3 linked regions of the Rattus norvegicus genome follow. The protein of the gene in region 1 interacts with the protein of each later gene in a pairwise test. Links are inferred from orthologs where the notes say so. Each region holds a gene or a part of one and is shown in the gene's direction. Other genes may lie near its edges.

Region 1 (3,653 bases):
TGAACAGGACAGGCTTATTGGAGGTTTAGGGAGGAAAGGGAGGACGAATGCTGCAATTATAATCTCAGATAGAAAAGGAGATAAAGTTCAGTTTTGTATTTAGTTGTATGGAAGTGTGAATATGAGTGTTTAAATAGGTATTCATGGTAACACTCTATGCTGGAAATTCATTAAAAATCTTGAATAAAACAAGTGAAAGTAAGTCACATACATATTTCAGTTAATGTCACACATGGAACTCAATGAAATTCTGGTATAAGGCTTTCTCTATTTAAAGGGAACGTTTATATCTTGATATTTTTTCAAAGAATGAAACCCAGAAGTACTACATAATATTTGAGGATGAATGCATTTAAAGATCAAAGAAGAGAATATTTACAAGTTCTGGGTGATTGAAGTCCTGAGTTACAGCTTATACCAATGCTTGCAAATGCGGTGACCTCTTCAGGACTTGGTATTTGCAGCCGTAGTCACAGCTGCTGGTAGAGACACAGTGACTACTTACGGAAGTGGACAGCTCAGTAGGATCTACTGTGTAGGAGCCGCTGTGGCAACAAAGGAAATGATTCTCACACAGTGAGTGATCACTCCTCTAAGCTGCTTTCCATTTCTTCTTTTTTTTTTAAAGAATTATTTATTTATTTAATGTCTATGAGTACACTGTAGCTGTCTTCAGACTCACCAGAAGAGGGCATCAGAACCCATTACAGATGGTTGTGAGCCACCATGTGGTTGCTAGGAATTGAACTCAGGACCTCTGGAAGAGCAGGCAGTGCTCTTTACCGCTGAGCCATCTCTCCAGCCCTGCTTTCCATTTCTAATTCTAGTTCCCAAGTTAACCAATAAACGTACACAATTTGAGATTTATAGTAGTCATTTTGCCTTAGAGAGGTACTTAAAGGTCTAGGTTATAAAATTTGGTATATTTATATTGCTTTTGGCTATTCCAAGTATTTTAAAAAGAATTAATGTTTTTTTGAATTAGAAAAATTACTGAGCATCTATTTATCAGGCAGTATGCTGAGTTCCTCAGGGAACAGTGTGAGTAGGGACCACTCCGGCTCTCCTATTCATTGCACGCTTAGTGTGAATGCGTTCCGGAGTACAAGGAGGAAGAGACTGCAGTGACATGACTTAGATGCACTAATAAAGATTTTTCTAGACAGTACAGATCGAGCCTGAGGAGGTTGCATGTGCAATGTAGTTAAGTAGACAACACTTTGGGGATTGAAAAGGACTTTTTGTTAAAAAAGCCCCAAACTGAACAGCAAAAATCCCCCAAACCAAAACGGTCTCTCTGTAGAGGCATGCTCTGGAGTTTGAACACTGTGAAGGTTTAGAGTACTGGCTATGGAGTGAGATTTGGGGGACGTATCTGAGGCCTGCTCTTCCTTTATTTGAAGCCATGCACTAGTTACTTGGTTCCATGCCTTTCTTCTCTGTGCAGAAGAGGGACCCACAGAGCAGCAGTCGTGATGGTGAAATTAGGCAGTGAATGCAGAGCAGCAGTTTTCACTGAGTTCTATCATTACTTGACAACAGGAGGTGATCACCTCTCAGTTCTCAGGATGGGTTTGGGGAGAGGTTGACAAAGTCGTTGGGGGCTGGGTGGTATGGCTCTCACCTGTGATCCTAGCTCTTGGGAGGCAAGGGATCCCTGAAACTTTGAGGCCACCCTGGAGTTCAAGGTTAACTTGGGTACAGAATGAGACACTATCTTAAAACAGACCAACAATCCCATTTGTCAAAACCTAACAAGGAATAGTTTGGAGCCAGATTGCTGCATTTACCACCTTGAAATTTTGTTAAAGGAAGTGAATAGTCAGGGAAGGATTCTAGGTAGGTAAATAGTGCCATGCAGTTAGTTATGTTGTATAACCAAAGCAATAATAACAGCATGAAAGGGAGAGTGCTAGAGTGATACCAGTGGGATATGAGACTTCCTTGCACAGTCACAAAGAAGATTGTTATAAAAGAATGCTTTGGAGACTTGTTCTTTATCTCTCACTAGGACCTTGTTAATGGTAGGCAAGCACTGAGACTCACTTCCTAGCCCTGCTTTGGAAGAGAGAAGTCCTATAGTAGGAGGTGAGATCCACATTGACATTTCCTAGAGAGAGGAAAGAACAATAAGGAAGGACAGCTGCTGTAAGGAAGAAGCTATTTTCAGTCTATGCATTCTCAGTGTACATAAACACTCATTCTTATATACAAAAGAACCCAGCCTTCCTTTCTCTGGCACTTGGGACAGGGACTGCCAGAGAGGAGGTACAGATTCACACCACCAGGCCAGTGTGCACTGATAATGTCGAAACTTGATAGGTATTCCAAGTAGAGAAGGAAAAGAGCCTACCTAATACATAGTAGGCTCTATAAATGCTCAAAGAAAAGTCGTTTGGGTGAAATAACTTGGGAGCATATGTATTTTAAGTGTGAGTCAAGAAAAATAAGCAGGTAGAGAAAAAGAGTGGTAAGGAGAAAACCAGGAGGGGAGAATTTGTGCTGTGAGCTGATTCAGATCAGACATCGCTGGCTAAATAGTAACCCATATGGTGACTCTGTCCTGTTAGTGCAGATGCCTACATTTATAGTTGCATGCAGATATGTGTTTTGTAAGTGATATGGTTGGTATACAGAAAAATGACTTGACCTGGTATGTTAATGGGTTTCCAATCGAGTAGAAAACAGGAAGGCTATGTTCAGTAATTATTGATTCTCCATTTTCCTTGAAAGACTCTTCTCCACTCTACTGGAGATAATTCAAAATTAAATAATATTTTATTCTTTTCATTCAAAGGTAAAGTATGAAGTAACAGAGGATGTGTATACTTCCAGGAAAAAGCAACACCAGACCATGATGCATTATTTTTGTGCACTAAATACTCTTCAGTACAAGAAGAAAATAGCTTTGTTAGAACCTCTGCTTGGATACATGCAGGCTCAGGTAAATATGTTTTGGATTATATCTGTCCTAAAAGCCTTGTATTAAGTTTGATTTTTGTATTAACTATAGGGCTATAATAAACTGTTGTCAACAGTTTTGTATTGTGGTTTTACTTTATTTTTTTTAAAGATTTATTTACTTATTTTATGTGAGTACACTGTCACTGTCTTTAGACACACCAGAAGAGAGAATTGGATCCATTACAGATGGTTATGAGCCACCATGTGGTTGCTGGGAATTGAACTCAGGACCTCTGGAAGAGCAGTCGGTGCTCTTAACCACTGCGCCATCCCTCCAGCCCCTGTATTGTGGTTTTAAAAAGTAATTTTAAAGACTGTCATGAGTGTCTTATTTTAAGAAGATTGGGCGAATGTTTTTTCTTGCAAATGAAGATATAAAATGTTTTAAATAAATGGAAGTACATTGTAGTAAGACTTTTCCCACCTCAGTTGGAGACAGAGAGCAGAAAGCTAGAGGAATTAATAACTGGAGCTTTTTTTCATTAGAAACCTGAGAAAGAATGAACAAGTTTGAATCGGACATGGTGGTGGACAGCTTTAATCCCAGCACTTGGGAGGCAGAGGATCTCTTGAATTCAAGGCCAGCCTGGTCTACAAAGAGAGTTAGTTCTAGAATAGCCAGGGCTACACAGAGAAACCATTTGGAAAAACAAACAAACAAACAAACAAACAAACAAACGGATAAAGAA
Region 2 (4,272 bases), on another chromosome or scaffold:
ATTGAAGTTATTCAGACATACTTTAAGATAAAACTGACTTAATTGACTAAACTGAGTTCTACACCTGAAACATACTAATTAGTTGGATGAGTTATTGAGCGAATTCCTTTAACTGTTCTTTTCAGCCAAATTACTAATAGTATAGGGTTCATACTTAATAGGGACACACCTTTCTATCCCAAAATTAGAGTCAATCAATTGGAAGCCAGATCACATCCACCATCCTCAAATGAATGGCTTGCCTTTGTTTTCCTTGAAATGATTTAATTTACTCATTAAAAGTCATTTTTCCTTGGATAGGAAAGGGAAAGTAAAAAGGACAGTGTGTGTGTGTGTGTGTGTGTGTGTGTGTGTGTGTGTGTATCTATTTTCATTATTTTCAGGAGATGATGTTTGCTGTGTGCAAAGATAGTATTGAAGGCGGTCTGGGCAGGTAATAAGTTGTAGACATGATCTTAGACATGTGCAAGCTTTTAGTCTTCATAGACTCTGGGTTGAAGGTAGAAAGCCCCTTCACTTTTGTTAAATATTCCTCAACCTTTATTACTAAGCTTAAAAATGCCACTGCAAATACCTAGAGTGTCACTCACAGGAAACCTCTAAAATTAAAAGTAAAGACATGATAAATTTATTCATGCCAACTCATAAAATAGGAAGGAAAGGCAGTTCTCAGAGTCTGGAAAGGAAAGACAGATGCCAGAAAGACTATGCATTGCTAGTGGATAAAGAAGCAGCCCGTGCTTGAGGTCACACAAGTGACTTGTCCCCACAGAGAACCCTATCACAGGTGCCTCCCACCGACAGAGACCTAGTGCTAACCCACCTTCCCCAAGTCTGTTTAACACTAGCTTATGTTGTTAAATCACAGGATGACTATAGCCTAGATGTATGGTTTATATCAGATGGGACACAGGAAAACAGCAACACCAAATACTAAAGGTAAATTTTGTTCCCTTCACATCAGTACGTTAGAGATGTGTCATGTGGATGTGCTTGGGGAGAGGGTCAATTATGTCACTGAGGAGAAGACAGTAGTGACCAGTAGGGACCCCTGTGCAGCAAAATAATGTGAATCTGCTGCTATAGACTGATATCTTCAAATATGCACCAAGTTTCTCTTTTCTGTCATTTTGGGGGTCAAGGAATAAAAAATATAGGTCTTGAAGGATAAAGCAGAAGATTATTGACACACATTAGTCACATATTAATATATATAATCACTATTGACACATATTAATTTTACTTGCCTGGAAGCGACTAAAAAAAAAGGCATCTCTTGGTGGGTCACGTGACTTTGCCCGTTCTCCAAGCAGATCTCTCTTATCCGGACAGTGTGTGGAGGAGCCTGGGGAATCTGTGGAAGTTTTCGCGCTGATGCAGAAAGAAAGTCGGTGAATGGATAAATAAGGATGGCCTTGCTCCTGGTCTCCTTGCTGGCATTCTTGGGCACGGGATCTGGATGTCATCACTGGCTGTGTCATTGCTCTAATAGGGTCTTTCTCTGCCAAGACAGCAAGGTGACAGAGATTCCGACCGACCTCCCCCGGAACGCCATTGAACTGTGAGTATCACCGCGGGGACAGCTGTGTGGTTCCCATTTGAGCATTGAGTACTATTATTATTTTCCTATTAGACTGATATCTGCTGGGCTGAAATATTTCTGGCCTGACCAAAGGCTACAGTAGAACACACTCCCCCAGACAGACACTTCTGTCCTGTGGCTTTCCAAGGCGAGTTGGCGAGAGTTTATATTGGCATTTGTCAGGGAAGGCCAGTGTGGAAACTTGAATCTTAGGGAAAGGGGGAGGGGTAGTTTGGAGGACATATTTATGCTAGGGGTAAATTCACACTCCCTACAGAAGCAGGAAAAATAAAAGGGAAAACAAGCAGAGTAGAATACTTAGGAGACCTACACCTGGAAGCCTGAAATGCTGGCCTCAGCCAGCTGCACACACTGGATCTCAAGGAGAGCACCTGTGGCTTTGCAAACAGCACAGATAGTTCTGGGTTCTGAGGTTCTTCTTAATTGGGGAAAGGGAGTCAGAGGTGAGGGGAGAGAGTGTGATGCAGGAAGAATGACTAAGAGGGAGAAAGAACACAGAGGGGAAAGTGATGCCAACTTTAGGTTTTGCTTAACTATTTAAACAGGAAGTATACATTCTCCTAGAATTGGACAAGAATGGGACATACCTCGTCCTATCTCTTCTCTTTGCAATTTGGAATCTAGTGGCCACAAACCAAAGAATTTTTCAAACTCTCACAACGTGTTGAAAGGGATCCAGAGCATAGGACACAGAGTTCTGCCCTCTCAAAAAGTTCTCTCCTGCCACACCAGACATGGGCTCTTTGATTGTTCCGGTAACACTTCCTTAGGAAGTGCAGGTGGGAATCAGATGGCCAACAACCTCCAGTTTTTCACTCTTAGCTGTGATTGGGAATCTCAGATTGTCCTTTTAGGAGAATGTGTGGAATTTAGCACTCTCCATTGACCTCTCAACTCAACAGCTACTGTACAGAGGCAGTTGCAGAGAAGGGAAAACACTGACCAGCTCTGTATTTTGGCTACACTGCCCAGATGAGACCGTTCTTCCAGACAATGCTGAAGAGTGTGCTGTGTACACACCCAGTCTAGTGTATGAGGTCTCCAAACACAGGGAAGGCCAATGTGCCCGGAACTCCTGCAAGTTATCTGCACCTGAGTCCTTTAAGGAATACCCTCCCTGCGCCTCTGCTTTCTACCTTGAACGTGGTTTTAATGCTTGTCTGGGTGGCTGTGCCATAGATACAGATCCCTTCCTCTCTTCACTGATTCACCTCTCTCTGGGTCTCTTCTATTGCCTCCCATGTGACTCTGTGTTTCCAACAGTGATGCCCACGTTATGAAGTAAATATTTCCTATACATTTAATTATTTAGTAGCATTCCACTACACTCCCAGATGTGCCCCACCCCCATGCCTGGCTGTCTAGTGACAGTAATTTCTTCTTAAGAAGATGGATTTTTCCATTCTGCCTAGAAAAAGTTGGGTAACAAGAAAAGGGAGGAAAAGAGTAGGGAATAAAAAAAGGAAGGAATAAAGGAGAGGAGAGATGTGTGCATGATACTTAGTGAGCCCCAAGATGGTTTCTTTTTTTCTTACACTAACATATGAATGACTAAAATACGTCCCTGCTCAAGAGCACTTCATAGCCAAGGAAAAAGCATGACCATGACCTGTTGTGATTTTATAGAAATTGGGAGAATCTTAAACAGAATAGCAGAAAAAAGTCCATGCTCTTGACTCTTTGTAGCTCTAATTATTTATATACAATATAGGAAAATGCATAGAAACGAAAAGACAAATACATGCTGACTTGGCATTAACTGCTACCAGCCTTCCCAACTAGGGATGAGTTTGGAAACTCTGGGGATTATGTGAAGAAAATGTCTTCCTCCCCATAGAGCTTAAATCAGACTCTGCTAAGTGTAACCCAACAGTCTTCTTGACAAGTGTGCTGTGAAGGAAAAGATAGAGTGGGATAACTGCTTGAAGTGTGTGTGTGTGTGTGTGTGTGTGTGAGAGAGAGAGAGAGAGAGAGAGAGAGAGAGAGAGAGAGAGAGAATGACAAGAACATTCTTGGGAGAGAACATTTTTTCCATATATTAATAGGCCTAGGGTAAAGTGGAGCTTTGCCAAGGAAGTGAAATTGTGGACTCAGCCTGGTGTTCCTCACGCATCGTGCAGTGTTGGATTTGGGTAAAGACTTTAGTGATGCCCATGTCAGGTAAGGTTGGGTTGACTAGTTGACCTTCACTGACTCCAGTGGATTGATCCACCATCATGGAAAAGGGGTAGTACTCACATGGTGGAAAACAACTGTCTGTCTCTGGCCTTTCTGTCTAGTTTGTAGCAGTTTCCTTTCATATCTCTTATATGCTGTGATCACCAATGGCCACTCATACCCTCTGATATGCCCATGCTGGTGTGAGTGGCAGAAGGACCAGAAGGGCACTGATGCAAGTGGATTCCATTTTGCAAATGGCTCCTGTGGCTTGCTTTATGCTCTGTATGTACTGGTTCGCTGAAAGTCCTCAATGGAAGTGCAAGCACGGTGCTGCTGTTGCTTCTCAAAAGCATAGTAAACGGGACAACCTCAGGAAAGACCTCCATGCAGCTCCTTCATGCAGAACTAAACCAAATTTAAGTCTGTCTTTGTCTCCCCTGCATGCTGTGGGTAATTCATGTATTCTGACTACTTTCTATGGAAAAATGCCTATATGCTGTTCTTAGAGC
Region 3 (2,975 bases), on another chromosome or scaffold:
GGCCATGCCCCTCAGAAAAAGAACCCACTTTCTCAGTATCCCTCAACTGTCACTAGCTCCTGTGGGATGGGACTTTGAACCCCAGCCCATGCTGGGATTTTGACTGGCTTGACTCTGTGCAGGTTTTTTAATGATTTTTTTTTTTAAAAAGGATGTATTATTTATGCGTCTTACTGTGTATGTATCTGTGCATGTGCCCATAAAGGCCGAGATCTTCTGGAGCTGGACTTAAGGGGTTGAGTGGTCTTAGCATGCATGTGCATGTGCCCACGGAGGCCACAGAGAGTGTGAGTTGCCCAACCTGGGTGCTGGGAAGTTATTAGTGGTAGCAAACACCGCTACACTAAATGGGTGTTTGTTTAATTGTTTTGAAAGAGTTATTTATTATATAAGTACACTGTAGCTGTCTTCAGACACACTAGAAGAGGGCATCAGATACCATTACAGATGCTGTGAGCCACCATGTGGTTGCTGGGATTTGAACTCAGGGCCTCTAGAAGAGCAGTCAGTGCTCTTAACTCCTGAGCCATCTCTCCAACCTCTTCATCCCTTTCTATGATCTTAATGGGAAACCTACTCTTCTGGCTTTGGAGCTACACTTGGTCTTGACCAAGTTGACCATCAGATGACTTTTAACAAACCTTTTCTAAATGTTTGTTTGTTTGTTTGTTTGTTTGTTTGTTTTTGGTGTGTATGTTGTCTGTGTCTGTGGTCTTTCAAATTTTGTATGTTTTTAGAAAGAGTCTTAACTCCTGGCTGACCTAGAACTCGGTATGTAGACCAGGCTGGCCTGGAACTAAATGAGATCCACCTTCCTCTGCCTCCTGAGTTCTGGGATTAAAGGAGTACACCATTATGCTAGCTCCTGGTTTTATTTATTTTATTTGTATATGTGTGATTTGTGTCTGCCATGTGTGTGCAGGTGTCCACAGAGGTCAAAAGAGGTCCTTCATTTTTAAGCATGTAATTCCTGAGAGAACAGTTGCTTTTCATAAATACATCAACTCCAGATTCACGGCAGCGCCTTCACGTAGCTACTTCCTGCTGACAGTCGTGTCTGTTCTGTTCAGGAGTGTTCCTGGGACTTGGCTTGAGTGGTGTTGTACCCACCATGCACTTTACTATCGCTGAGGGCTTTGTCAAGGCCACCACAGTGGGCCAGATGGGCTGGTTCTTCCTCATGGCTGTGATGTACATCACCGGCGCTGGCCTTTATGCTGCTCGGATTCCTGAGCGCTTCTTTCCTGGAAAATTTGACATATGGGTAAGACATGACTCTTAGCAGGGCCTGTGTGGTGAGTGACTGGCCCAGTCAGAGCTCTGAGTAGAAGGTGGTAAGATTCGGGTCATGAAGTACTGAGGATGGGCAAGATCAACACAGGTCTCAGAGTTTCTTATAATGTTCTAGAACAAGTATCACTTATCTGATGTAAAGAAGTTTTTAAGGAGAAAGCAGAAGAGGCCAAATGTTCCCACCGACTTCCCCGTCCTAAAGGTGGGTCTCTGTTTGTTCCCACAGTTCCAGTCTCATCAGATTTTCCATGTCCTGGTGGTGGCAGCGGCTTTCGTCCACTTCTATGGGGTGTCCAACCTACAGGAATTCCGTTACGGCCTAGAGGGTGGATGTACCGATGACTCCCTTCTCTGAGCCTTCCCACCTGAGGGTTGGTGGAGGAACTTCCCAAGTGCTTTTAAAAATAACTTCTTTGCTGAAGTACGAGGAAGAGTCTGAGTTGTCTGTTTCTAGAAGAAACCTCTTAGAGAATCGCACCAGTGACCCTTCAGCCCACTGGCACAGCCTCCGGGCCGTACACTTCCCATGTGCATTCCTAGCAGTCACCTCAGCAAGGCAACTGCTGGTCCTTCACAGACAGGACGTGGGAGCTCATGTTGAGATTTTACCCATTCCTTCAGCCATTTTGGGGAAAAAATTATGAACTGGGATTCTTCAGAAATTAAGTGTTGTTTTTTCTTGAAGAAAATATCCCTCCCTTACCCTCCTCCTTACTTTGTAACCTGGCGGATGACAGGCCATCCATTTTTGTAGCACACTTTTCAGAAACAAGTATAACCTGGTCCCATCTTTCTAGGACAAACAAAGCCACGCCTTGATGTAGCCCGGCTAATCATGGAAGTATGTCCAGGCTTCAAGTAACTTGAGTTTAAATCCTTTTTTTTTTTTTTCTTGGCAGAGTAATGTAAAATTAAAATGGGGAAGATATTTAATATTTAATACTAAGCTTTAAAAAGAAACCTGCTATCACTGCTGTGTATCTTGATGCAAAGACTATGGTGATAATAAAAGAAAGTACAGACCGCTTGGCATTCAAAGAGTTAACGTGTGTTGTTTCAACTGTTTGCACACAACTCCTACTGAGACACAAATGGGAATCATATGGACAGTTACAGTGAGACTTACAGTGAGACGTGTGTGGTCAGCAAGTGGGCATAACTCAGTTCCTAGCCTCTGATCTCTAATACAACTCAGTACGGCACTGACTCCTGATGAGGGGGATTACTATGCAGACTGGGTGTGTCCTTCAGATGGTAGGATGTGTGCTGGCACCCACAAAGCCCTGGATTTCATCGCCATTGTCAGATAAGTCAGGCACGGTAAGTCATGTCTATAATACTAAGGCCAAGGAGGTAGTTATGTACACGAGACTGTCTCAGGAAAGAAAATCATTGTGCTACCGAGGCACTTCTGGTTTTTCTCTGTGTAGGGTTGGCTGTCATAGAACTCACTTGGTAGACCAGGCTGGCCTCAAACTCACAGAGATCCTCCTGCGTCTGCCTCCCAAGAGCTGAGCTCAGAGGCGTGCACAGCTACTGCCTGGCAGTGGTGGTGTTACTAATAGTCTCCAGTGCTGAGGTGTACCCTAGAGCTCAGCACTGTCTTGCTGGTGCTAGAGTCAGTCACTGCAGTGCCTGATGAGGGAAACTAGGGAAGGGCGGAGTGTGCATAACCCCAGAGC

What was found.
Region 2: the proteins of Appl1 (region 1) and Fshr interact in a two-hybrid assay, tested with the Homo sapiens proteins (2 studies listed by BioGRID). The link is inferred for Rattus norvegicus from reciprocal best matches to the Homo sapiens genes APPL1 and FSHR.
Region 3: the proteins of Appl1 (region 1) and Adipor1 interact in binary tests that used the Homo sapiens proteins (3 or more experiments, as listed by UniProt). The link is inferred for Rattus norvegicus from reciprocal best matches to the Homo sapiens genes APPL1 and ADIPOR1.

Annotation. Positions count from the first base shown.
Region 1 is NC_086034.1:2,152,853-2,156,505, reverse strand, and holds part of Appl1 (DCC-interacting protein 13-alpha), read left to right. Parts: intron 1-2,797; coding exon 2,798-2,944; intron 2,945-3,653. UniProt on the Homo sapiens protein: Multifunctional adapter protein that binds to various membrane receptors, nuclear factors and signaling proteins to regulate many processes, such as cell proliferation, immune response, endosomal trafficking and cell metabolism.
Region 2 is NC_086024.1:10,950,990-10,955,261, forward strand, and holds the start of Fshr (follicle-stimulating hormone receptor precursor), read left to right. Parts: upstream 1-1,339; 5' UTR 1,340-1,409; coding exon 1,410-1,561; intron 1,562-4,272. UniProt on the Homo sapiens protein: G protein-coupled receptor for follitropin, the follicle-stimulating hormone. Through cAMP production activates the downstream PI3K-AKT and ERK1/ERK2 signaling pathways.
Region 3 is NC_086031.1:48,428,921-48,431,895, forward strand, and holds the end of Adipor1 (adiponectin receptor protein 1), read left to right. Parts: intron 1-1,070; coding exon 1,071-1,264; intron 1,265-1,519; coding exon 1,520-1,648; 3' UTR 1,649-2,331; downstream 2,332-2,975. UniProt on the Homo sapiens protein: Receptor for ADIPOQ, an essential hormone secreted by adipocytes that regulates glucose and lipid metabolism. Required for normal glucose and fat homeostasis and for maintaining a normal body weight.